Linked DNA regions of Caenorhabditis elegans. The protein of the gene in region 1 purifies or fractionates together with the protein of each later gene. This does not show direct contact. Each region holds a gene or a part of one and is shown in the gene's direction. Other genes may lie near its edges.

Evidence for each region.
Region 2: the proteins of prp-40 (region 1) and snr-6 fractionate together in Caenorhabditis elegans (co-fractionation; one large-scale study listed by BioGRID). This does not show direct contact.
Region 3: the proteins of prp-40 (region 1) and prp-3 fractionate together in Caenorhabditis elegans (co-fractionation; one large-scale study listed by BioGRID). This does not show direct contact.

What each region holds. Positions count from the first base shown.
Region 1 is NC_003281.10:9,516,270-9,524,886, forward strand, and holds the start of prp-40 (WW domain-containing protein ZK1098.1), read left to right. Parts: upstream 1-5,805; 5' UTR 5,806-5,806; coding exon 5,807-5,888; intron 5,889-5,963; coding exon 5,964-6,232; intron 6,233-6,278; coding exon 6,279-6,408; intron 6,409-6,455; coding exon 6,456-6,838; intron 6,839-6,851; exon of another isoform or gene 6,852-6,892; coding exon of another isoform or gene 6,893-7,076; intron 7,077-7,129; coding exon of another isoform or gene 7,130-7,243; intron 7,244-7,293; coding exon of another isoform or gene 7,294-7,397; exon of another isoform or gene 7,398-7,403; intron 7,404-7,615; coding exon 7,616-7,792; intron 7,793-7,838; coding exon 7,839-8,013; intron 8,014-8,060; coding exon 8,061-8,617. Other genes in the region: clu-1 (Clustered mitochondria protein homolog), read right to left, coding at 1,023-1,193, 1,242-1,712, 1,841-1,921, 2,030-3,108, 3,160-4,906, 4,952-5,019, 5,065-5,191; mrps-23 (Small ribosomal subunit protein mS23), read right to left, coding at 6,893-7,076, 7,130-7,243, 7,294-7,397.
Region 2 is NC_003281.10:12,425,314-12,432,899, reverse strand, and holds snr-6 (putative small nuclear ribonucleoprotein E), read left to right. Parts: upstream 1-3,270; 5' UTR 3,271-3,285; coding exon 3,286-3,341; intron 3,342-3,388; coding exon 3,389-3,605; 3' UTR 3,606-3,728; downstream 3,729-7,586. Other genes in the region: Y49E10.16 (Fungal lipase-type domain-containing protein), read right to left, coding at 290-676, 1,147-1,261, 1,634-1,698, 1,743-1,864, 1,966-2,020, 2,298-2,380; pie-1 (Pharynx and intestine in excess protein 1), read right to left, coding at 3,813-4,212, 4,269-4,357, 5,393-5,518, 5,562-5,669, 5,723-6,007. UniProt on the Caenorhabditis elegans protein: Plays a role in pre-mRNA splicing as a core component of the spliceosomal U1, U2, U4 and U5 small nuclear ribonucleoproteins (snRNPs), the building blocks of the spliceosome.
Region 3 is NC_003281.10:10,423,814-10,432,430, reverse strand, and holds prp-3 (U4/U6 small nuclear ribonucleoprotein Prp3), read left to right. Parts: upstream 1-4,448; coding exon 4,449-4,508; intron 4,509-4,677; coding exon 4,678-5,615; intron 5,616-6,462; coding exon 6,463-6,912; intron 6,913-7,358; coding exon 7,359-7,602; intron 7,603-8,036; coding exon 8,037-8,210; 3' UTR 8,211-8,318; downstream 8,319-8,617. Other genes in the region: smrd-1 (SWI/SNF-related matrix-associated actin-dependent regulator of chromatin subfamily A containing DEAD/H box 1 homolog), read left to right, coding at 529-1,025, 1,849-2,603, 3,368-3,606; M03C11.6 (BBS2_C domain-containing protein), read left to right, coding at 8,440-8,592.

The sequences.
Region 1 (8,617 bases):
ATAAGAGAGAAAAAGCTTTAAAGTCTCTCATTTTTAGAGGACAATTACATTTTTATAATTTTTTTGTTCATCAACATGAACAAAATCGGATAAAATTTTTTATGGTTTAAAACATTTAACAAAAAAAATGCAAAAACAAGAAAATATAATTTTCTACTGCTAAAAAAATAAAATGGACACAATTTTCAGTTTTTGCAACTTTTTTTCTTAAATAATGGAAGTTATATATTTTTTTTCTGACAAATTGGAAAAAGCGATACTCTTGATTAACAAATTCATATTTTTGTTCACAAGATATTTCAAAATATTTAAAGAATGAAACTTTAAGTTTTCTGAAAATTTTAGAACTGAAACAAAAAATAGATTTTCAGATTTTATTATTGGAGAAAGAACAAAACAATAAACATTTTATAACAGTTGATTGGAAAATTTAAAAAAAAACGAAAATTCATACTAAACTACAAGGCTTTGAATCCTAAGGCAAAAAAACAGGTAACGAGGAGAACAAACGCATCAGTGTAACAAAAGATGGAGTGTACTCGGATTATCAGAGATGTATATTTTTTAAATGATTAGTTTTTCGATGGACACTCGTGTCAGAACGACAGTCATAACATGTATGAAGGAAATGGGTTACAGATAGATGGAGAAGACAATGAAAACGGGAACATGTGATTGATTAAGTTGTGGGAAATGAGGGAAATGCTCCTGAGCAAATTTGAAAATTTCAGGCTGATTTTTGGAATTGAGCAAATGTTTTTGGTTATCAGAGAAAGAAACGGTGCAATTATCTCATATAATTATTTCAAAAAAGCAACGAAAATGCGGTCACGGTTTTCTAACAAAAAAAAAGTTATTTACTAAACTGATATCTACACCTAAAAAAACAAAACAAAAAGAAACAAAAACTGATCTATATGCTATACACTATTAAAAACTAAAATAATCAACGAACAAGTAATTCTAAATTTTTTGAAATTTGATAAACAACTTCCAAAAAATTGGGTGATATCTAATCAATTCTAATCGAGAGTCTCATTGTCAAGCTGAGCAGCAACATCTGTAGTCTTGCTCTCTTCAGTCGTCCCATTTTGCTGTTTTCCGAGAGAAGACAATCCAGGAACACCAATGATCAGTATTCCGTTGATGATGTTTAAGGTATCAAATAGAGAGGTAACTGTTGGAGGTTGAGCCTATAAAAATATTGCGATTTTTTTGCTATTGTGAAAATTTAATATTACCTGGAACAATTCAGTAATGTTTGTACTATTGTCAAGTTTCAACATTTTCTTTTGGAATGTAACAGCTTGTTGAGTAAGCGTGCGAAGATATTCACTCGATTCGTTGACTCTTGGGTGATTTGGTCCATAGAGTTCGGAATAAATAGCGAATGTTTCCTTTTCAGCAACTAGAGCAGCTCGGAAATCTCCACGAGCCGCATGTGTTCGGGCAATCAAATTGGAAATCAATCCAGTCTTCAGCTTTCTCGGTTCTCCAATAGTTTTTGTGATAGCATCAGCCGATTGCAAGTACTTCAAAGCTGTGTCGAACTCTTGAACAGTGAACAAAATGAGTCCAATGTTGGCATCAATTTGAGCCATTACAGGATGTTTCTCTCCAAATACGAGATTCATGAGATATCTCGCACGGTACAATGGACGAAGAGATCCAGGAATGAGAAGTGCTCCAAATGCGAAATGGGCCAAATTGATCTGAAAAATGTTCAATGTCATTGCAGAAAAATTCCCTTTATTTTGTTCTCATTGTTCTTCAAGTTTATCGAAAAACAAAGATGATAAAACATATTTAATGCAGATGATTTTTTATTAATAGTACTTACATATTCAATAATGGTATTTCCTGCATCCAATCCAATCAACCGTTCGCTCATGACCGCTGCCTTATGCTGGTTGTTCAAAGCCTGAAAATTATACGGCATTGGTTTTATATATTACAATTTCCAATGTATTCAGTGTTCATGCGGCTAAATTGTTTTAAAAACCAAAATAACTAATGATAAGACACTTACATCTCCAGTTTCTCCAAGAACGTGGGACAATCTTGCAAGAGCTCTCAAACATTGTGGCATATCTGGATGCATTACACCATAGACAAGTGTCATGAGATTTAGTGATTCGCCAATACACTCGTAAGCTTCTCGGGAGGCACCAATAGACATCGCTTGTTGTCCACGAATGAACATTTTCTTAGCATCAGCAGTGAATGGTTCATGATGCTTGATGATTGGGAAGAAGTTGATGATGTCATCTTCAACGAAAATTGATGTTTTCTTTGCAGTAGAGTTATCCAATTGGTAATCTCTTGCTACGAGCTGAACTCCCATGACTTTGCAAATGCGGCGGAAAAGAGCAGTTTTTTGGATATCATGCAATTCGGTGAACTTTTCAAGGGAGTCGGCCTCAATCGGGTATCCATAATAGCTGGCAGAATCTTCACGGATACTATTCCAAAGTGCTGATGTGGTTAACGAAGACCAGGCAGATGTAACTCGTTTCTTGCCGTTCTTCTTATTGGCTTTCTTCGCAACGTTCGCAGCAATAGGGCTTGGATCCAAAACTACAGAGAATAGGCAGTTGAGAATGTGAGATGTACTTGCGGAGAGTTGATCAGCAGTAATTTGAACATTGATCTTGCGGATGACATGCTTTGCAGATCTAGCAACGATATCCGAAAGAACAAGTGGACGAGCAAATGAGACGCTGTTTTCAAGACGTTTTCCAATTTCTCCTAAATAGCGAATATTGATACCATTGATGTGCATAATGTCAGCAAGATTATCTCCATCAATTGGTTGCACAACGCAATCTTTCAAGTTCTGAACAAGCTCTGGAATCTTCTGGGTAAGGAGGAAATCTGCGGCATCCACAACAACACGGCGTTGTCGTTCAAGGTTCTCTGTTGGTGCATGTTTGACATTTGATGAGAAACAATCCGGATTGAACTTCATAACATAGCGATCTTCATAAATAGAATGAACAACTGCACAAGCTTCCTTGATAGCATCTTGAACGACTTTGTTTTTGGCTTCAAACTCCTTATCTTCGCTGATGGCCATAAAGAGTAGTGATAGTTCAGTTTCTGCTTCGGCTGAAAAATAAAAATAATTTGATTAAGAAAAGTTTTGTACGAAATGATTACCTGCTTGCTTAATCAAAGTTTCATCATTTTTCTCTTTTGACTCGGTAATCAGATCACGGATCTTCTTTGCAGTTAACTGGATGAAAGTGACCAATCTAGACTCACAGAACGCATCAATTAGTTCACGGCGGAGAGCCGAAAGCTTGTGCGGGAATTTTCGTGGATATCCCAGTGTTTTAGCGGCCTCAGAGACCTCTGCGTCATCGAGATAATGAACATCTGGAGGCATTGAACGAAGAAGGTCCAAAACGTATTTTCTACCATCGTTTCCAATTATTCCCTTAGCTTCGTAGCTTGTATAAAGCTTCAACTCTTCCTTAACTCCGTCTTTCTCGCTGATAACGGTGTGAGGCAGCATTTTCAGTTTGTGAGCAGCATCCTCGAGCAGTTCGTGATACTTTTCATCAGAGACGACAGTTTTTCCAAAGTCTATCGATCCATACACAACAGATTGTTCTTGCTCGCGTTCCAAAATTCCTGGTATGATGGATTGTGCAGTCACACGATATCCTCGATAATCGAAAATTGCCATTCCTAGAGTGTTGAGTTTTGGATCATCAAGAGTTGCAAATGCCCGCACTCCTTGAAGATCGGTCGATGTAGCAGCAAAAGCAGCAGCGTCTCCTCCAAGCTCCTTATAATGATCTCTGACGTCAAATCCGAGACTGAAGAAGATATTGTTCCAAATGTACATATGAGTTTTCTTGTCCTCTCCTGGGTTTATAGCCAATATATTTCCATCAAGAATAGATTGAACACCTCTCGCAGCAGCATTTACGTAATCAGCATGAATTTTGTAATAACTTCGATCACGGATTACTCGCTCAGAAATGGATTTACGGGTCATCTCGAAAGTAGTCTGAAGCTCTTCATTCCAATCACGAAGGAGTCCTGGCATATGATCTTCAAATCCAACCCGGAACGGCTCTGTCAATTCAATGGCTCTCAATGAGTCACTCATGTACCCATCAGTTTTCAATGGATTTCCAACCCATGAAGAAACTGGGTAACTGGTTGGAAGTCGCTCAACGAGTGTCTTTTCTTGACGCCGCTTCAAAATTTGAGGATATACTTTCTTGAATCCTGGACTGACATTTTGAAGTAGTTCAATGACGCTTTGGTAGACAGTCTTATTGGAATTCGATACTGTCGGATCGAACCGTCCATCTTGTGAGTTGTTCACATAAAAACCTCTAGTGCAACAGGTGACATGGTAGATGCGATTTTCAACTGTTGTGATGTCGATGTACAAGACATCTCCTCTGAGCTTTCGAGGTCCTGGTGGAGGGTTGTACGGAGAGAATGCGATATCTTTAAGGGCAATGAGCTCTTTTGGTTGTGGAACAAGCAGATGAGCAAGGGAGCGTTCTTTGCATCCTGGAAGAGCATGATCTGGTGGAAGAATATCGGAAGGTTTTGGTTCTTTCTTTTCTTCTGGTTGCAAATTGATTGTTGTCAAATATGATTGAGCATCATTGGTACACGGGGGCTCGTGCTGATCTTCAGTAAGTCCAAATTTGAGTAATTCACGGACTTGGCGGAGGTGGAGACGAGCATCACGAATGGTGTATGGCTCATCGACCACGTTCAAGGTGCACCCATCAACGAATCCCGGAATAGCACGGACTTCAGAGTAGTTGTCTACGGCTGTTCCGTTCAAATACAAGGAGAAACAAGTTCTATGACAAGTAGCTTCACGGTCTAGCAGCGTCTGGTATAGTTCTTGAACCAACTCATTGTCGCTGAGCTGAAAAAATGTCTGGATTCTAAAATCAGGAAAGAAAAAACTGACATGTAGCTCGAAAGCGTCTCCACAAGATGGTTGAATAGTGATCTTCACGAACTTGTCGACTTGCTTATCTGAAACTCAAGGATAAAAAAAAACTAATTTTAGATTTTTCTCACCTGGTTCTGATGAGTCTGGAGTGTTTATCGACGAGTGACCTGAGTCGTTTTCCTCTTGAGGAATTTCGTGCTTCCCATTGATGATCGGCACTTCGACATCAGTTTTCGTTTCGGAACCCAAAGTCATCTGTAAAATATTTAAATATCAGTTCATCTTCATAATTATATTAGCGAAATATTAAACGATGAAGGATTTATGACGCAAATCATGGAATTCGAAAAATTGTGCGAGCACAGCACAATTAACGAATGGATAGATAATGGAACAGCCATGAAGACTTGTACCGAGAAAGTTGCAGAAGAACTAAAAAAAACTACAGATTTGGAGAAGGAAAGGATATTATATACAAAAATCCTATGCTATCGCACTTACGAGCGCAGCAGAGAACAAATATCAGAAAGCAATATCATTAACACCTATTTTTATACTCATTTTCTAATTTTCCGACACTGAATCAAAAATTAAAAACATCTGATGCAATAGGAAACGAGAAATTGGGAACAAAGTGTATTGTAAAAATTTTGCTCCAGGAATGCGTCAATCATCACGTTGGCGCGATCCTCGTTCATTGCGCTTTTCTGGTGCAAGCAAGTGCGCCCCACCGTATTTTCCGACGATAGATTGCATCGAAAGGGGGCACGCAGCGTTTCAGTTTTCTTCGATTTTTCCACAAATTTTGTTTATGCTACATTTTCCTTGGTGTTTCTTTCGTTTTCACTTTTTAATCAAGTAATTTTCAGAATGCTTCCCAATGGATTTTCATTTCTTAATCCCAATTTAGTAGCGGCTGCTAACATTCAACAAGTTCTCCTGAACCAAAGATGCAAGTTTTTCATAAATTTGTAAAATTGGCCAATTAATTAATAAAATAATTTAATATTAATGCAAACATTTTCAGTTGGCATGCCACCAGTTGGATCTATCGCTCAAGTTCCGCTCCTCCAAATGCCCACCCACTCTGTAGTTGCTCCGCACGTTGCAGCTCCGACGAGGCCTTCACCAATGCTGGTACCTCCTGGAATGGGCATAGACGAATCCCACTCATCCCCATCTGTCGAATCTGATTGGAGTGTGCATACGAATGAAAAGGGTACACCTTATTATCATAATCGTGTAACGAAACAAACGTCATGGATAAAACCAGACGTCTTAAAAACTCCACTCGAGGTAAGTGAAAAATATAGTTTACAGCGCTCTTGAAGTCTGATTTCAGAGAAGTACTAGCGGACAGCCACAACAAGGTCAATGGAAAGAATTCATGAGTGATGACGGAAAACCATATTATTATAATACCCTTACAAAGAAAACGCAATGGGTTAAACCAGATGGAGAGGAAATTACAAGTAAGATTTTATCTAGAGAATCTTTCAATTTGAATTATTTATTTCAGAAGGAGAACAGAAGCCAGCAGCAAAGGCTGCAACTGTGGACACTGTCGCATTGGCAGCGGCTGTTCAGCAAAAGAAGGCGGAATCCGATCTAGACAAAGCCATGAAGGCTACCCTCGCATCAATGCCAAATGTACCTCTTCCGTCTGAAAAGAAAGAAGAAGAATCTGTGAACGATGAAGTTGAATTGAAGAAACGGCAGTCAGAACGATTCCGTGAACTGCTCCGTGACAAATATAATGACGGAAAGATAACAACGAATTGCAATTGGGATCAGGCTGTAAAATGGATCCAGAATGATCCTCGTTTCAGAATTCTGAACAAAGTCTCAGAAAAGAAACAATTATTTAACGCTTGGAAAGTTCAAAGAGGAAAAGAAGAAAGAGTAAGTTGAAACGAAAAACAAATTTATGAACAACTACAAACTATAACTTAGCATTTATTTCAAAACGATTCCATTCTCGTTGAGACGTTTTTGTGTCATCTCGAACAACTGATCATCTGTTGCCTCTGCATTTTCTGATTTGACTAGTTTATATTCGTTGATGAACTGCTGAGAGACGCTTGTTCTTGAGCTATCCACTTGAATACCAGCCGTACTTCTGTATGTCTTGTAGAACTTTCTGAATAGAGAAAACAATTTAAATAGTCAGCGCCTGAAATAACCAAAACTTACGCTCTGAGAACATCTTCCTCGTAGAAAATAGAGCGAATTGGTTCGTCGTACTTTGCTAATTTTACATTCCAATCTGGCGGTGTTAATGGTGGAGATGAAACGTACACATCATACCTGAAATGATAATTATATCACGATATCCGCTTGAATGAGTAAAAATTTACCACAAAGGACGATCTGCCCAGTTCAGTTGACCAGCACGGATGAGTCCAGTGACTCGCGAAAAAATATTACCAGAACGTTCCGCACGAGTGATAAATGAAGCCATTTTGACCTGAAAATGATTGGAAATTTGCAGAAGGAGAGAAGAAATTAACTTTAAAAACGGAAAACGCAGTAAGAATTTGCGCACGGAAAGGTGGGAGGGGCGACTCCGCCCCTTGCAAGGCGGCGGCGCGGTTTTCGGCGGGCGATTATTCTCTGTGAATATTTACGACTGCAAAGTCACGGCTTGCAAAGTTTTTATAATTATTTATTAAATTTCAGGATGAAAAACGACTGGCAATCAAAAAGTCTAAAGAAGATTTGGAAAAATTCTTGCAAGAGCATCCAAAAATGAAAGAAAGCCTCAAATACCAAAAAGCCAGCGATATATTCAGCAAGGAGCCACTTTGGATTGCTGTTAATGATGAGGATAGAAAAGAGATTTTTAGAGATTGTATTGTATGTTTCTAAGGCTTTTGAGAATTGTTATTGTTAATTTTTCCAGGATTTCGTGGCTCGTAGGGACAAGGAGAAAAAAGAAGAGGACAGAAAACGAGACATTGCAGCTTTCAGTCACGTTCTTCAGAGTATGGAGCAAATAACTTACAAAACTACATGGGCTCAAGCACAACGAATTTTATATGAAAATCCTCAGTTCGCGGAGAGAAAGGATCTGCATTGTAAAATATTTTGACTCTTATAAAATTCGAATTTAATTGTTTTTCAGTTATGGACAAGGAAGATGCGCTCACAGTTTTCGAAGATCATATAAAACAAGCCGAGAAAGAGCACGACGAGGAGAAAGAGCAAGAAGAGAAACGACTCCGCAGGCAACAACGAAAAGTACGAGAAGAATATCGTTTACTGCTGGAGAGCTTGCATAAGAGGGGAGAACTCACTTCCATGTCACTTTGGACTTCCCTGTTTCCTATTATCTCAACAGACACTCGATTTGAACTTATGCTATTCCAACCTGGATCGTCTCCACTTGATCTTTTCAAGTTTTTTGTTGAAGATCTCAAGGAGCAATATACCGAAGACCGCCGTCTCATTAAAGAAATTTTAACAGAGAAAGGGTGTCAGGTGATAGCAACAACCGAGTACAGGGAATTTTCTGATTGGGTTGTTTCTCATGAGAAAGGAGGAAAAGTTGATCATGGAAACATGAAACTTTGTTACAACTCACTGATTGAAAAAGCTGAAAGCAAGGCGAAGGATGAGGAAAAAGAGTCGCTGAGAAGGAAAAGAAGACTGGAGAGCGAATTCAGAAATCTACTGAAAGAG
Region 2 (7,586 bases), 2.9 Mb from region 1:
GAAAGTCGTGTACTCCACACGGACAAATACATTTAATTTTACAACTAAAATCGAGCCGCGACGCGACACGCAACGCGCCGTAAATCTACCCCAGATATGGCCTAGTTCGGCAAACTCTTCCATTTCAATTTATGATATATCATTGGCAGAGTTTATGTTTTTTTCTAGGCCACGTAGCAAAAACCGCTGTGTTGGGAGAGGGAAAAAAATTCAGAAGATTGGAGAATTTAATTATGTCCAACATTTTTTTGGCGACATCCCTGGTCACCACCAATTCAAAACCACTAACCAAACTTCAGTTCTATGATGGAAAAGCTCGTCCTGTCCCTCCATTGGTGGAATATGTGCAGCAATATCTCTATGATGAACAATACGGAATGAATACGGGAACGTTGCGTCGTGCCACGTGGCAAACGCATAATCTCCGGTTCTTGGCTGTCCCAGTGTCACTAATTTGATTTTATCCGGGGTGAAAATCCCGATTTTCACAATATAAGAAGCTGCGATTGAGGCGATGGCACCACCCATCGAGTGTCCAGTAACCCAGATTTCATAGTCAGGGTATTGGTATTTGAGTTTTCGAAGATCTTGTTGAAGACCTCCATTCCATTGGAATAGGAAGGCATCGTAGAAATATTCGAATACACTTCCAGAGTCGAAGAACGCCTTTTTTCCGCTGAAAATGTGTGTTTGCAAATTTTTTGAGAACAATCTTTTATGTGGAGGGAAATTCAAATTTTCTGAGAAAACATTTTTTGCGAGAAATTTTTTTGAAAAATTGGAACGTCCTGTAACCTTTGGAAAATTCCAAAAATAATTGTTGAATGCTCAAGAACTTTTTTGAAAAATTCAAGAAAGTTGTGGAATTTGCTGGAACCTTTTAGAGAATTCGTGAAAATTTTGAATTTTGAATTTTACAAATAGTTCCAGGAACATTCAGCTTTTTTTGAGTCCGAAAACCGTGCAAAAAATTTTTTAATTTTTTCAATTTATTTTTGGTCGAAATTGTTTTGTGGTAAGCTGAGAAAAAAGGCAAAAAAATTTTTTTTTGGTTTTTTATAACATAAAAATGTGCAAAACTGTAGTCGTGAGAAGAAAAAATACAAAAATCCAATTAAACTTTAAATTGCCATTTCCCGAACTTACTGGAAGAAATCCAAAATTTCTTCAGACAATTGAGCTGCTCCTTCTGTCCCTCTAAACGTCATTGCAATCACTTTTTGGACAGTATCTATGGCCGTGAAGCTGAAGCACATTGCTTCTGAAAATTGGATTTTTTAGCGCCAGTGGGGAAATTTTAAAAAAATTTCAATAAAACTTAAAATAAATTTAATAAATTTAGTGAAATTTTTATTGGCAGTCAAAAATTGGCAATTATTGAGTTTTTGCCACTTTTTGAGAAAACTACAGACACGGGGTTCTGGCCTTCCTCATTGAATTTTTCGCGCTCCATTGACAATCGCCTGCCGGAAAGGGAAAGTCGTGTACTCCACACGGACCAATACATTTAGTTTTACAATCGAGCCGCGACGTGACACGCAACGCGCCGAGCCAAAATGGTCTAGTTCGGCAATCTCTTCCTTTTCAATTTATGAGGGAAGCCAGAAATCCGTGGGCTAATAAAACAACTCACTTGGCCCATATCTATCACAATTGACATTAACTGTTTTGGAAACTTTCATCGAAGGCATTTTACTACTGAAAGTATCGATTTTTAAGGTTTATCTAGAAGGTGAACCTACGTAAAACACTTTTGTGGGTCCATATTGTAGGCAGCAGAATGTGTGATCAATACCTTATTCCTCATAAATGAATCATCGTAAGCGTGGGCTTTATCTGGTAGTTCCGGGCAGTTTAGGGCTTTCTGTAACGTTTCTGATCGCCGAAATTTTTTTTTTTTATTGATTTTTGAAAAATGGAATTGGCGATCAAATGGGTAATTTTTTTTTCTTCAAAAAAACTCACTGTAATTGTAGTGACACATGGCGTAAATCCACATGCATTTACAGTAACACACCAGCTGAAAAAAGGTATATTACGAGAACATAAAATTCTGAAAATGCGTATTGCACACCATATTTGACGCGCAAAATATCTCGTAGCGAAAACTATGACTACTGTAGAGCTGGTGTCGATTTACGAGCTTGATTAAGAAAGTTGAGGCAGTAAATCGACATAGGCACTACAGTAGTCTTATTTAAAGAATTACTGTAGTTTTCGCTACGTGATATTTCATATTTTGCGCGTCAAATAAGCTGCGCAATACGAATTCTCAGAATTGTAAGCTTCCAACTCACTGTTTCCCCTGAGCCAAACAATCTGAGCACTTGTCGGCCGTTGCGAGACCCAAAATTATAAGAAACCCAATTAGCTTGAGCATTTTAACTGAAATATTTCATGTGAAAGTGTTAAAAATGAAACAAAAATTGATTCAACGAAGAAAATCAGGATTTTTCCATCATTTTTCCGGAAAAAGTGTAGTTAGTTTATCAATTTTCGAGCGAAGGTCGCTTTTTGGTCGTCCAAACCCCTTATCACCTGATTTTTTAGACTTTAATTTAGCATTAACTGTGTTTTATGATTTTGAAAATTTTGAAACTTATTTAACTGATTAAGAACAACTGAGAATGTTGTACAAACAGCGAAACTTTTTGAAATCGAGTTGCAAGCGCGCTCCCATGACGCTCCGCCCCTATAACTAGGGTCTCGATAGGTGTTGGCGGCAAAAGCGTAAATTTAATTTAATTCAAACGTTTTCTATAAATTTTTGCCGATTTCACGAATTTCTCGTTGTTTTTATCGATAATTGCCTAACAAGCCTTAACTTTTGGGGCTATAAACCGCAAATACCAGCTTTAACTCGTTCCAATCTTCAGTTTTATGTAGTATTTAAAATTAAATACAAATAATTAGTTATCACAATTCTCTCCGTGCTTTTCTTTGTTCTAAACTGCATTTTATTAAATTCAAAATTCCGCCTTTTTATGCAGGGGTACGGTTTACAAAGTCCGCAACTGTGCGTCACGGTGCTTGCGTACTCATCTTTTTTGAACGAATTTTCGAAATTATTTTTGTCGAGAAAATAGCCGATTTCTGCTCAAATTTGAAGTTTTTTGGCATTTTTTTTCGTTGAAATTTATGTAAAATGTGAAAAATTATGTTTTAAAGCCATAAATTGTAGTTTTTGAGCTTAAATAGCTGCTAAAATCGAGTTTTCTTGATATTTATCTTAAAAATTTGTGTCTTTCAAAAAATATATTGATTTTTACAGATCATCCCGCAAAAATGTCGACGAGAAAGCTCAACAAAGTGATGGTTCAGCCTGTGAACCTCATCTTCAGGTAATATTTTTTCACTAATCAGTAGAAAACAATTTCCCAAATTTCAGATATCTCCAAAACCGCACTCGGGTCCAAATCTGGTTGTACGAGGATGTCACCCACCGTCTCGAGGGCTACATCATCGGATTCGACGAGTTCATGAATGTCGTGTTCGACGAAGCCGAGGAGGTGAACATGAAGACGAAGGGACGCAACAAGATCGGCAGAATTCTTCTCAAAGGAGACAACATCACTCTCATCCACGCCGCCCAACAAGAAGCCTAAATCATCGTTCACTTTTCACGGATCTCTTTGTTCATTTTTCTGTCTCTGTTTCGCTTTCGCACCGTATTGTTCCAAGTTTTCAAGTTTTAATATGTCTTTAAAAAAAGTAAATTATTTTTGGCTTTTTTGGCACAAGTTCATTCACAGGACAAAGAGAGGGGGTGAGTGGATAAATATACAAAACAAAATATGGAAAATACGGCAAAATTAGGAAATAATAGTTGGTGGTGGCTGAGAGAAGAATCCATCGGGGAACACTTCAAACGCACCGCCCGTGGCATTCGGATCAATAGTCACATCCATCATGGGCATGCCATTCGAATTAATTGGTTGATAGTAGTATGTCGGTGCCATTGGTGCATACATTGGCTGGCTATTCATCAAATCATGTTGCTGTGGAATATATTGCACTGGAAAAGGAGCTCCTTGTTGAGCTTGCGGCGGTGGAGCCAAGAAATATGGCATTGGAAATGGCAGGAATTGTTGCTGATGTTGTGGATGATGATGGTAGTAGGCAATCGGCGGCGGACAATCGGAAGAAGGTGGCGCGTAAACCGTCGCATTCGCATTGAAATGTTGCATTTGTTCGACGTGAATGAAGCGGCATCTGAAAGGAAAATTTATTTTATTTATTTTTAATAAAAATTCCAGATTTCCTAGAACCTTGGACCATATCTGCAGTTTCCTCTCTCGAAATTGTGACAAATCTGACGACGATTCGAGCTTCCGTGGTTGTTGCTGGGTCTCCGATTCTGGAAGTAAAATATTGTAATATTTTCCCTAAATTTCACTTAAAAATAAGGATTTTTGCAACGTAAAACCTCAAAAATTCGCTGAAATTGACGATTTTTGTTCAAAATTTTGAAAAACAGGGTTAATTTTAGCTGAAAATCTTCAATTTTGCCAGAAATTGGCTTTTTTTCCGTCGCCACACGGAGAACTTGCCAAAAATGAAGACTTTTAGCCAATTTAGCCCTGAAAATTCGAGTTTTGGGCGATTTTTGGTCTGAGAAGCCGTTTTCGCAGTATATTATATTTTCTCGTTAAATTTCATTTTAAAATAAACATTTTGAACGTATAACCCCAAAAATTCGCTGCGCAATGGATGATTTTTGTCCAAAGTTTTGATAATTTTAGCTAAAAACCTCGAATTTTGGCAATTTTTCGTGCCGCATCGGCCGAAAGTTGACTTTTTTTGGAATTATCATAATTTAATGCACATTTTGGTAGTTTATCTCACATAATCTGTCTGCAGGCGGGAAAAATTTGAGATAAACTACTAAAAGATGCAAAACAAGGATGATAATTCCAGAAAATCAACTTCGGACCGTCTCGACACGGAAAATTGAGCGAAATTGGAGTTTTAAAATGATTTAGCCCTGAAAATTCGAGAAATTTAGGCGGTTTTGGGTCTGAAAAGGCGTTTTCGCAGTATTTTCTCGCTAAATTTCATTTATTATCACATAATATCAGTACTTAGGCGAATATCTTGTAGAAATGTTGGTTTTGTTCGATAATTCTCTACTTTTAGAGTCGATTCACGAGAAAATGTTGCACCATCTTACTTTTTTCCCTTGTAAAACATAGATTCTTCTGTACAATGAAAGAGAACACAATTTCTTCGTGAAGCAACTCAAAAAGTAGAGAAAATTCGAACAAAACCCAACATTTCTACAAGATATTCGTCTAAATAGTGATATAATGTGTTAATAAGCATATTTTAAATGAAATTTAGCGAAAAAACTGCGAAAATTTGTCAAAAAAGCGAATTTCCATCCGATCAGCACCTCATCATGATGCTTCGATGCTGAAGAACTCGATCGATTGATTGTTGTATCCACGTCGTCTCGTCTAGAACGAGAATCACGGCGCTCACGTGGTGGATCTCGGGAATAATACTCTTGGCGGCGTCTCTGAAAAAAAAATTTTCCAAAGATTTCCAGGCTTCAGACACACCGGAACTCTCAGCTCATCTTGTCCGTGAGCATATGTGCAATTGTCGTTGTACGGGCAGTATCCTTCACGGCGGAACGCATCACAAAGTCGCGTTTTGTATTCTGTGTGCTGGAAAAAAAATCGATTTTGCATATTTTTCAGTTTTTTTTTTAAATCAAAACCTTATCCTTCGCCGAGCTATGTCTTTTAGTTGCCGGCGCCTCGTCAATCTGAGCCAATGGAGTGATCTTGAGCGCTTCACGCTTTGGACGAAGCCATTTTCCACTATATCCGGACGACAGCGAATCATTGAATGATCGATTGATTTTCCGTTGATCTACTGAATTTTGAATTCTCGCCGGGCACGTCGCATTCAGAAGACTGTTCGATCGATCGGCAGCGAACGACGTGTCATCTGAGTTGTTGAGTGCAGCCATTTGCTCGGCAATCGGCTTTGTTTGAGCCATCTGGAAAAGAAAATTTGATTTTTAATTGTTTGGGAAACGAAATACTGCAAAAAGAAACCTAAAAAGTGATTGTAAAACTGAAAAAACGGCGAGAAATCCATTTTTGCCGCCGAATTTGGTTACGGTTGGTTTAAAGGCGCATGCCTAAAGTTTTATTTTCGTTGCGGGACTCACAGATTTTTAAAAACTTTTTCTTTATTTTTTGAAGATTTCTGTGTTTTTTCACTGATTATTTACAAACAAAGCTCAATTTTATGAAAGCTTTCAATGTTAAAAAATAAAATTATATTTAATTGAGAAGTGCTCCGTGCTGAATTTGGGGGCAAAAACTCAATTTATAGCGATTTTTATATAATTTCTTATAAAATAAAATTTTTTCAGATGTTTTGCAAACGAATTACTGCGAAAAGAAACGTGAAAAGTGATTTTAAAACTGAAAAAACAGCGAGAAATCTTTTTTTGCCTCCGAATTTGGTTACGGTTGGTTTAAAGGCGCATGCCTCAAGTTGTGCTTTCGTTGCGATACTCACAGATTTTTAAAAAAACCTTTTTTGATTTTTTGTTTGAGTTTTTCAACTTTTTCAAGCATTTTTCTCGATTTTTGATACATTTTTTGCTTTCAAATCCAATTTTAAAGCTATTTTTCCGATATTTTCATGTTTTTCACGCTATTTTCGATTCAAATGTGTCTTTTAATCGTTTTCCGTACGCTGAAGGTCATTTCTGTTGTCCTCACCAAACATTAAAATTACAAATAGTATCTCCCAAGCAAAAACGTTAAAAATCGCTTTAATTTTGATGAAAATTTTCCAGTATTTCCCAAATTTCGAACAAATTTTTTTTTCAGCAAAAAAGATTTTTCGGAATTTTTTTCTGAAATTTCCCAGATTTTCCAGTAGTTCACCCTTTTTCTCCAATGTACTCGTACTCCAAGTACATAAATATGTCGATTTTCTCTTCCATATCACTTTATGTGGCGTAAAGAATACAAAAAAACCGGTTTTTCACCTCCAAAATCGGGCTATATTCTGTGTGAATATACAAAGAGAAACAGCTTTTACATATGTCTTTTGACGCCATTTTTTCTCGATTTTATTTAAAGGTGGAAATTGCTTTAAAACATGCCTATGGGGACACAATGACCGAATATCATGATAAAAAAATTCAAAAAAATTGTCTAGATGTTATATGATTTTTTGAAAATTGAAAAAATCTCAGTTTTCACCTAATTATATTTGAATTACCGCCAATTGAACTCGTTGGTTGGAGCGCGCTTGCATTATTTTCATTAGTTATTTGAATTAATTTTCATTATTTCACTGATTTTCTTCATTTTTGGGGTTTTTTAATCGGAAAATGAAAGAAATATACAAGAAAAATGCAAAATCTTTATTAAAAAGTAACTGAAAATGCCTAAAACTCCGAGAAATACTAATTTCAGTTTTTAATAAACATTTTGCATTTTTCTTGTATATTTCTTTCATTTCCCGATAAAAAAAACCTCAAAAATGAAGAAAATCAGTGAAATAATGAAAATTAATAAAATTAATTAATGAAAATAATGCAAGCGCGCTCCAAC
Region 3 (8,617 bases), 910 kb from region 1:
CTCACAAATCACATTCTACCGATTCAATTTTCCCCATTCTAAGCCACCAATGACGTCCTAAATCATTTGATGGAAAGATAATGGGGGCCGCGTAGGTTTGAACCAGCGACATTTTACTCGGAAAACAAGCTCACATCCATTGAGCCACTTGTGCGCAATCTCTTGAGCCACCTGATTGCACATAAATGCGCCGCATTGCTCAGGTTACTTGACAGCTGCTCTCTCTCAGAGTTGACATGATTTGAATATGCGCAAAGGGCGAAATTGGACGATTTTAATCAAGAAAATACGGTACATGGTCTCGACACGACAGAATATATTTAAATTATAAATTCTGTGCGCCTTTAATTGCAAATTTCATCGATACGAGACCATTACCGTATTTTCGTGCCAGACATCGAAAATTTCCGCTTTTGCGTTACAGAATTCTAATTGAAATCAATTTTTGGTAAAATTGAAAACTAGTTGTTTTCTATTTTATTTTTTTAGCTTCCAAAATAAAAAATTTAATTTTTTTTTAATTTTCAGATCGACGTAATCCTCACCACATACAACATGGTAACCTCAAAATCGGACGACAAAAAATTCTTCAAAAACTTTTCTCTAAACTATGTGATCTACGATGAAGGTCACATGTTGAAGAATTGCGATTCCGAACGTTATAGAGGATTGATGAAAGTTAAAGGAAAAAAGAAGATTCTATTAACAGGAACTCCTTTACAAAATAATCTCATTGAGCTGATCTCTTTGATGTATTTTGTGTTATCAAAAGTATTCAATAAGTATTGTGAAGATATTACTCATCTTCTTCAACATTTCAAACAACTCGGCCCAGCACTTGACACGAAAAATAAGGCATTGTATCAACAGGATAGAATTGAAGAGGCCAAGGCAATCCTACAACCGTATATTCTCAGAAGACTTAAGAATCAAGTGCTCGGAAGTTTGCCGTCGAAATCTGAACAGATTATTGAGGTGGAGATGAAGAAACCGCAGAAGCAACTCTATGATAATATTGTTGAAGCGTGAGTTTTTGATTTTTTAAAAATTGCTATAACACGAATCAAATTTAAAAAAAAATTGAAATTTTCAACGAAAAAAATCGATTTTTCAGTTTTTTCAGAAAAATCTAAAAGCTTTTTCTAAAGTTTGTACTTTTGAATTATCGAGAATATATCGACTTTAATTTAAGTTTTTCACAAGTTGTGAAATTTAATTTTTCCTCTGAAAAATGGGAAAAGCTATAGTTTCTCGAGAGATTCTTGAAAAGTTTATAGATTTTTTCACTTCAAATTTTTCGGGGAACCAGTTCAATTTTTATAATTTATTCTATAAGTCATTTCTCTAATAAAAAATATTTATTTCTGTTATTTCTCATCAAAAACAGTATATATCATGAATTTTTGAAAAAATTCAAAGTTTTTTGAGCGATTTTTTTCTAAAAAAAATCACCGAAAAAGCGAAATATGTTTGACTAAAATTTAAAATCTCAGTTTGCTGAGTTTGCAAAATGTATAGCTTCACCCTGTTTAAAGTTACAGAAAAACATTACTATACAAATTGAATTTTTTGCTGCAAAAACTGACTTAAATTCCAAAATGTTGGAATATTTCAGAATTATTGCTTTTTATGAAAAAAAAAAACATTGAAAATTCAATTATTTGTAACAATTTTAGCTTGACGTTTTTTTTTCTCTTTGAAAAAATTTGTTTAATACTATCTTTTCTTCTCCCTAAATACTTCAAATACAATTTTTTTTTCGGTTTTTCGGTTCTAAAAAACCTTTAAAAAACTTTAAAAAAAAAGTATTTTAAAAATGCCAAAAAACAAAAAAATCCATATTTCCAGACTCCAACAATCTGAAGAGTCTGGCGACTCATACGGATCCCTAATGCGTCTCCGTCAAGCAGCCAATCATCCATTACTCCGACGTTCCGAATACACTGATCAAAAACTCGATAAGATAGCCAAAATGCTGTGCCTCAGAGAAAAAGCCTACGCTGACAAGAAGTGGCAGCACGTGTCAGAAGATCTCGCCTGGTTATCCGATATTAAGATCCATCAACTGTGTGAACGATTCCGATGTACGAGTAAATTCCTGCTCAATGAGCAACTTGCACTGAAAAGTGGGAAATGTGAGCAGTTGGATGTGATGCTCCCCGAGATTCAGAAAAAAGGAGATAAAGTGTTAATATTCTCACAGTTTACATCAATGTTGGATATTCTAGAGGTTTATCTCAATATTCGTGGATATTCATATAAAAGACTCGACGGACAGACTCCTGTACTTGATCGTCAGGAAATGATTAATGAATTCAATCTTTCAAAGGATCTATTCGTATTCCTACTCTCCACAAGAGCCGGTGGACTTGGAATTAATCTCACATCGGCTAATCATATCATCATTCATGATATTGATTTCAACCCGTATAACGATAAACAGGCAGAGGACAGATGTCATCGTATGGGACAGGAAAAGCCTGTGCATGTCACTCGGCTTGTGAGTAAGGGTACTGTAGAAGTTGGAATGTTGGCGTTGGCGAAGAAGAAGTTGCAATTGGAGAAACAGGTTACCGATGGTGTCAAGGGACAGTTGGATGAAGGTAGAGAATTGGTGGAAAAAGCTGGAAATCGCTCAGTTTTGACCTAGAGATTGAGAATTTCAATGTTTTGGGTCGAAAAAGTTCGAAATTTTACAAAATTTTTAAACGAAACTATTATAAGCTTTCAGTGAAAATTCGAAATTTGTGTCAAAAAATTGTTCAAATATTGTAAAATGCAACGTTTTTCAGATAAATGCCCCATTTCTCAGAAACTGTCCTAAAAATTAAGAATTTCAAACATTTTTTTCGTGTAGAAAGTTCAAATTTTTAAGTTTATATAATCTATGATAAACTTTACAGTGAAAATTTTGAATTTCTGTCAGAAAATTCTTCAAAAATGGTAAAATCAACATTTTTTCCCGAAAAATGCTCGATTTTTACGTAAAAAGCAAAAAAATTTAAATTTTAGTACATTTCATTGAAAACTTTAAGTTTTTGTTAGAAGAAATCGAAATTTACCGAAAATTTCGAAAATTCGACCTTTTCAAAAGTCCAAATATTCCAGAAATTCAAAAAAAAAAATCAAAGAACTCTGATTTTTTTACAGGAAAAAAATGTGATTAAATTCAAATTTTTGAAATTTCTGTCATTGAAAATTACGTTTTTTTTTTAAATTATTGAAACTAAAATAATTGCAAATTTTCGTTTTTTGCCAGAAAATTCAATTCCCATTCATAAAAAATGCTGAAATTTTGAGATTTTTCGGTCAAAAATGCGATTTTTTTAAACAAAAATTTATCAAAAATAACATAAAAATTTTCCAGACGCCCTCCGTGAGCTGAAAGAAGAAGAAGGCGGTGAACAATGCGGTGGCCGTGATCTAAGTAAACTTCTTTCATCGGCGATCAGTGGACGATATGATGACGTGGAAGATGATTCTGGAGATTCGAAAAATGGAATTGATGCTGAAGAAGCAGCTAAAAAAGAAGATGAAGCTGTGAAAGAGCCTGTCGAAAAAGAGCAGCAAAAAGAGGAAGAATCTCAACCTTCTACATCTGCTTAATCACTTTTTTCCCGTTCATTTTCACCCAAAAATGGTCAAAATCCTCATAAATTCACGGAAAAGCGGGGACAAAATCGGATTTAGTCAGATTTTATCGATTTTCAGCCAATTTTTCCAGGTTTTTGACCCCCATTTTCATTAATTTTACTTTTTTTTCCAAATTTCAATTACTAGTGATCTCCATCCATCATCCCATCTGCAAAACACTTTAAACGTTGGTTCTCAATTGTTTCTTTTTTCAAAATTTCAATTTTTATATATTTATTTTCATCCATATATATTTTTTTCTGTAATTCCTACATTTCAAAAAAAATCTCATCATTTTTATCCCAAAATATTCTTTGTAAAACAATTGTTTTCTGTCCAGTATTGCATATTCCGTTTTTTTTTGTGAAAAATTATTGGCACCTTAATTTTAAAATTTTTATTTTATTTTTTAACTTATTCAGACGGAAATTGCTTCTTTTTTGGTGTATTCAATGAATATGGTGATTTTTTTCGCACTTTTCAATTTTTATTTATTTTATGCGTTTTGTCGCAATTTTTATCTATTTTTTGCTTTAATATTAATTTTTAAAAATTCAGCCGAAAAATTTCAATTTTTCCTGGAAAAATCAAATTGTTAGCTGTATTTTTTTTATTTTTTCGTTTAAAAACTCATATTTCCAGGTTAAAAACTGAAAACTAGTATTTATTTTTTCAAAATTGAAGATGTTGATTTTTTTTTGTTCTTTTGCTCAAAAACTAACATTTTTAGTGATTTTTAATTGAAAAAGTATTTTTCCAGTTAAAAATTCCCATTTTCACTCTTCTACATTGAAAAAAAAATCAAATTTTTGCAGATGGGAAAGCTCGAGGACATTTGCGACCAGTATTTGAGCAGAAAAAAGGAACAGGACAAGGTTGGTAATCTTGAAATAAATTTTTGATCGAATTCCGAATTTGAACATTTGAATTTCCCGGCAAATTATTACTGAGAGTTTTTTGCTCAATTAAAAATTTTTTATGAACCTAAAAATTTCAAATTTCCGTGGCGAAACCTAAAAAAATCCTATAATTTTAAATTTCCAGGTAATCGAAGCAGTCGAAAGATGTCTGAAGAAAGGATATGACTACGAAAAGCTCAAGGATCGAGTTCAAGAAGCAATCTCCGACCCACAAAAGGCGCGAAAAGTGATCTCCGCCGTTTGCGATCATTATCCACAGCTACGGAAACGAACTCGCACAGATCGAGACGGAGAGGATCGTGATCGGAAACGAGATCGGACGGATGATCGGAGAAAGCCGGATGCTTCAGTTCCAGCAGCAGTAGCAGAACCTCAAAAGCCTGCAGAGCAAAGTATTGAAGAACGACTCCGAGCAAAGGAAATGATGTACAAGGCTCAGCAGGAGATTGAGGAGACGAAGAGAAAAATGGCAATTGCAGCTGGAACACTTCAACCAAAAGCCGCATTGGCTCAGGCAAAGACACAAATGGTGGCTCCCGGTGGAAAATCTTTATCGCTTGGAAGAGATGAAGCTACAATGCTTATGACACATTCAATGGATAAGAAAAGTCGAATGGAAGAGTTGAAAGCGAGGCTCGCAAGAACTACAGTAATGGCAAAGATTGATGCGATGGTTGGAAATTCGGGAGCCGGAGTGATGGCTCCATTGCCAGAAGCTGTTCAGCAAGCAGAGAAGAAGGTTCAACAACAGATCACAAAAGAATCAAAAGAACCGGAGAAACTCATCGAGTATCTGGATCCACGGATTCAGGCGAGAACTGCAGATCGACGTCGCCGGGGGTTCAATTTCCATGAGAAGGGAGAATTCGAGAAACTTGCGAATAAGCAAAGAGCAATGGCAAAGCTCGAAAGGCTTCAGAATGAGGTCTCATCGGCTGCACAATCGACGGGAATCTCATCGGCTGTGAAACTTGCGATGGTTACACCAACGGGCACGGCGAAAATGGAGAATGGGGTACCGGATATTGAGTGGTGGGATATGTTGGTGTTGGATAAGGTTAAGTGAGTACTTTTTTTTTTTTGATTTTTGGGATGGTTTGGAACGAAAAATTGGAAAAAATAGGCTACTTTTATTTAAAAATTGAACGTAAAGCAGGGGTCAACGGCAATCGATTTTTCCGGCAAATTGTCGGAATTTAAAAATTCCGGTAAATGGGCAAATTGTCAATTTGCCGGAATTGAAATTTCCGGCAAATCGCCAAATTGCCGGAATTGAAAATTTCCGGCAAATCGGTAAACTCGCAATTTGCCGATTCGAATTTGTCGACAAAAAAAATTGGTCGAACGGCAATTGCCGGTTTGTCGATTTTGCCAGTTTGCCGGTTTGCCGACCCCGGCGTAAATTTATATAAATAATTAAATTTTAAATATTTTGCTTCAGAGCTTGGTTCAGAGCAAGAAATTGTGAAGATTAGCCCCAAAATTTGGGTTTTTTGAAATTTATAGCGAACAAAATTCGTGTCAAAAATTTAGTTTTTTTTTTTGCCAAAAAGCGCAAATTTTAATTACAAAATTAGCGAAAAAACAAAAAAAAGGTAAAAATTGAACTTGAAATTTTTTTTCACAAAAAGTTTTTTTATAGCTGCAGCTACAAATAAAAATTTTTTTTCGAAATTTCAAATTTCAAGTTATATTTTTACCATTTTTTTCTTGCTTTTTCGTTAAAAGTGGCGAAAAATACTCAATTTTTACTGGATTTTTTTTTTCCAATTTTTGAATAAATAATTTCCAAAAATTGGCCGCCTTTCTGGACGTTTTTTTACCAAAAAAAAAAAAGAAAATTAATTTATTTCAAGAGTTTATTAACAATTTTTAACTTAGAAAACCTCAAAAATAAAATTTTTTGCAGCTACGACGAAATCCCTGCGGAAAACGACATGGAAAGATACTCACAGACAGTTTCCGAACTCGTAGAGCACCCGATTTCAATGAGAGCACCCACTGAGCCATTAACTCAACAATATCTGAAAGTATACTTGACAACAAAAGAAAAAAAGAAGATTCGTCGTCAAAATCGTAAGGAAGTACTGAAAGAGAAGACAGAGAAGATTCGTTTGGGACTGGAAAAGGCTCCGGAGCCAAAAGTCAAAATTAGTAATTTAATGAGAGTTCTTGGAAATGAAGCAATCCAGGATCCGACGAAAATGGAAGCACAAGTTCGGAAACAAATGGCTGAAAGATTGAAGAAACATGAGACATTGAATGCTGAGAGAAAGCTTACCGAAGATCAGAAACGCGCGAAAAAGACGAAAAAACTGTCTGAGGATACGTCGACGGCGGTTAATGTTTCGGTTTATAGGTAATTTTACGTCGAACAATTTTTTTCACGAAAAATTTGAAATTCCCGCATTAAAATTTCATAGAAAATTTTAATTTCTCTCCAAAAATATTAAACAATTTATTTTTTAGTTTCTTCAAAAATTGGAAATTTTGGAGTTTTTAAAACTTTTTTTCAAATACTATTTTATTTTACTTAAACTATTTTACAATTACTGATTAATATTTAAAAACATTTTGAAATATTAAATTGAAAACTCGAAATTAATATTTAAAAGGATTTTTAAAAAATCGAAAATTCGAATTTTGAGGAAATTCGTTTTTTTCCTAAATTATGTGATGAAAATGAAAAAGTCTAGAAATTGGAAAAAAAATTATTTCATTTTTTTTCACAATTTTTATAGAATTTTATGCCAAAAAAATCCAAAAAAAAACGTCTGTAAAGCAAAAATTTAATTTTTTTTGCAGAGTAAAATCACTGGCCCATCCGTCGAAAAAGTTCAAAGTGGAGACAAATGCGAAACAATTACAAATGAGTGGAGCAATTATGATGCATAAAGCTCAAAATGTGATTGTTGTGGAAGGTGGTCCAAAACAACAGAAATTCTATAAAAATCTGATGATTAATCGAATCAAGTGGTCTGATGAGATTATTGGACAAAAGAAAGACGCTGAAAAAGATGCTCCCGGAGAAAGAAATCTATGTGAAATGGTAAAAAAAATTAGGAAATTTTTGATTTAACTTGTAGAAAATAGGAAAATTATTCTAAATTTTTACAGGATTTTTGAATAAATTTTGTGGAAATTTTTCATGAAATTTTTAATATTAAAACTTAAAAAAGTATACATTTTATAGAATTTTGAAAACAAATCAAATAAAAAAACTGAAAATTGAGTTGAAAAAATTAAAATTTCAATTTAGGAAGTTTGTTTAGCTGGAAATTTCTTTAGAAAATCCTTTTTTTAATAAATTTTTTTTCACCGAAAACCAAGTAGAAAAATCGCGAAATTTATGAAAATTGTGGAATTTTCAAAATTAAAAATTAAAAAAAATGAAATTTCGAAAACAATTTTTTAAAGTAGATTTTAGCTGAAAATCTTTTTTCAAAAATATTTTGAAAGTTAAAAAAATTAAAAATTTTCCAGATCTGGGAAGGACAAGTGAAGCGTCGAAATTTCCGTGATTTCACCGTTCACACGGCTACACTTGAGAAGCAGGCTCGCGAGTTTTTCGAAAAGCACGGAGTTGCACAATACTGGGATCTCTGTTACAGTACCACCGTTCTTTTGGAGGGACAAGACATTCTACCGACTGCTTAAATACACATCTCTGGAAAATTTTAATTCGTTTTTCTAAATATTTTTTTTTTGTTATTGGAGCCCGGAGAGCCCTGAGCCAAGGGACTGTAAATGAACATTATTTTATTTTAAAAAGATTTTTTTAGAATTTTAACACTTTTTGTTGTAATTTAGACCCATTTTGCATATTTTCCCGTAATTTTTATATTTATTTCCCACAGATTTCTCTGTTTAGAAACCCCCGCAAAATATGGAAGAAGTCGACGAGAAAATTGAGGAGGCGATTCGAGTGATGGAGGCGCAAATCAAGGCAAAACGGGCGATTTTAGAGGAGTCACTACGGGTGGTCACAGATCCCAAGCAGATGGAAAATTGCAGAAAACGACGGCAATATATCAAAGAAGTACGGAACATGAGGATTTTTATTT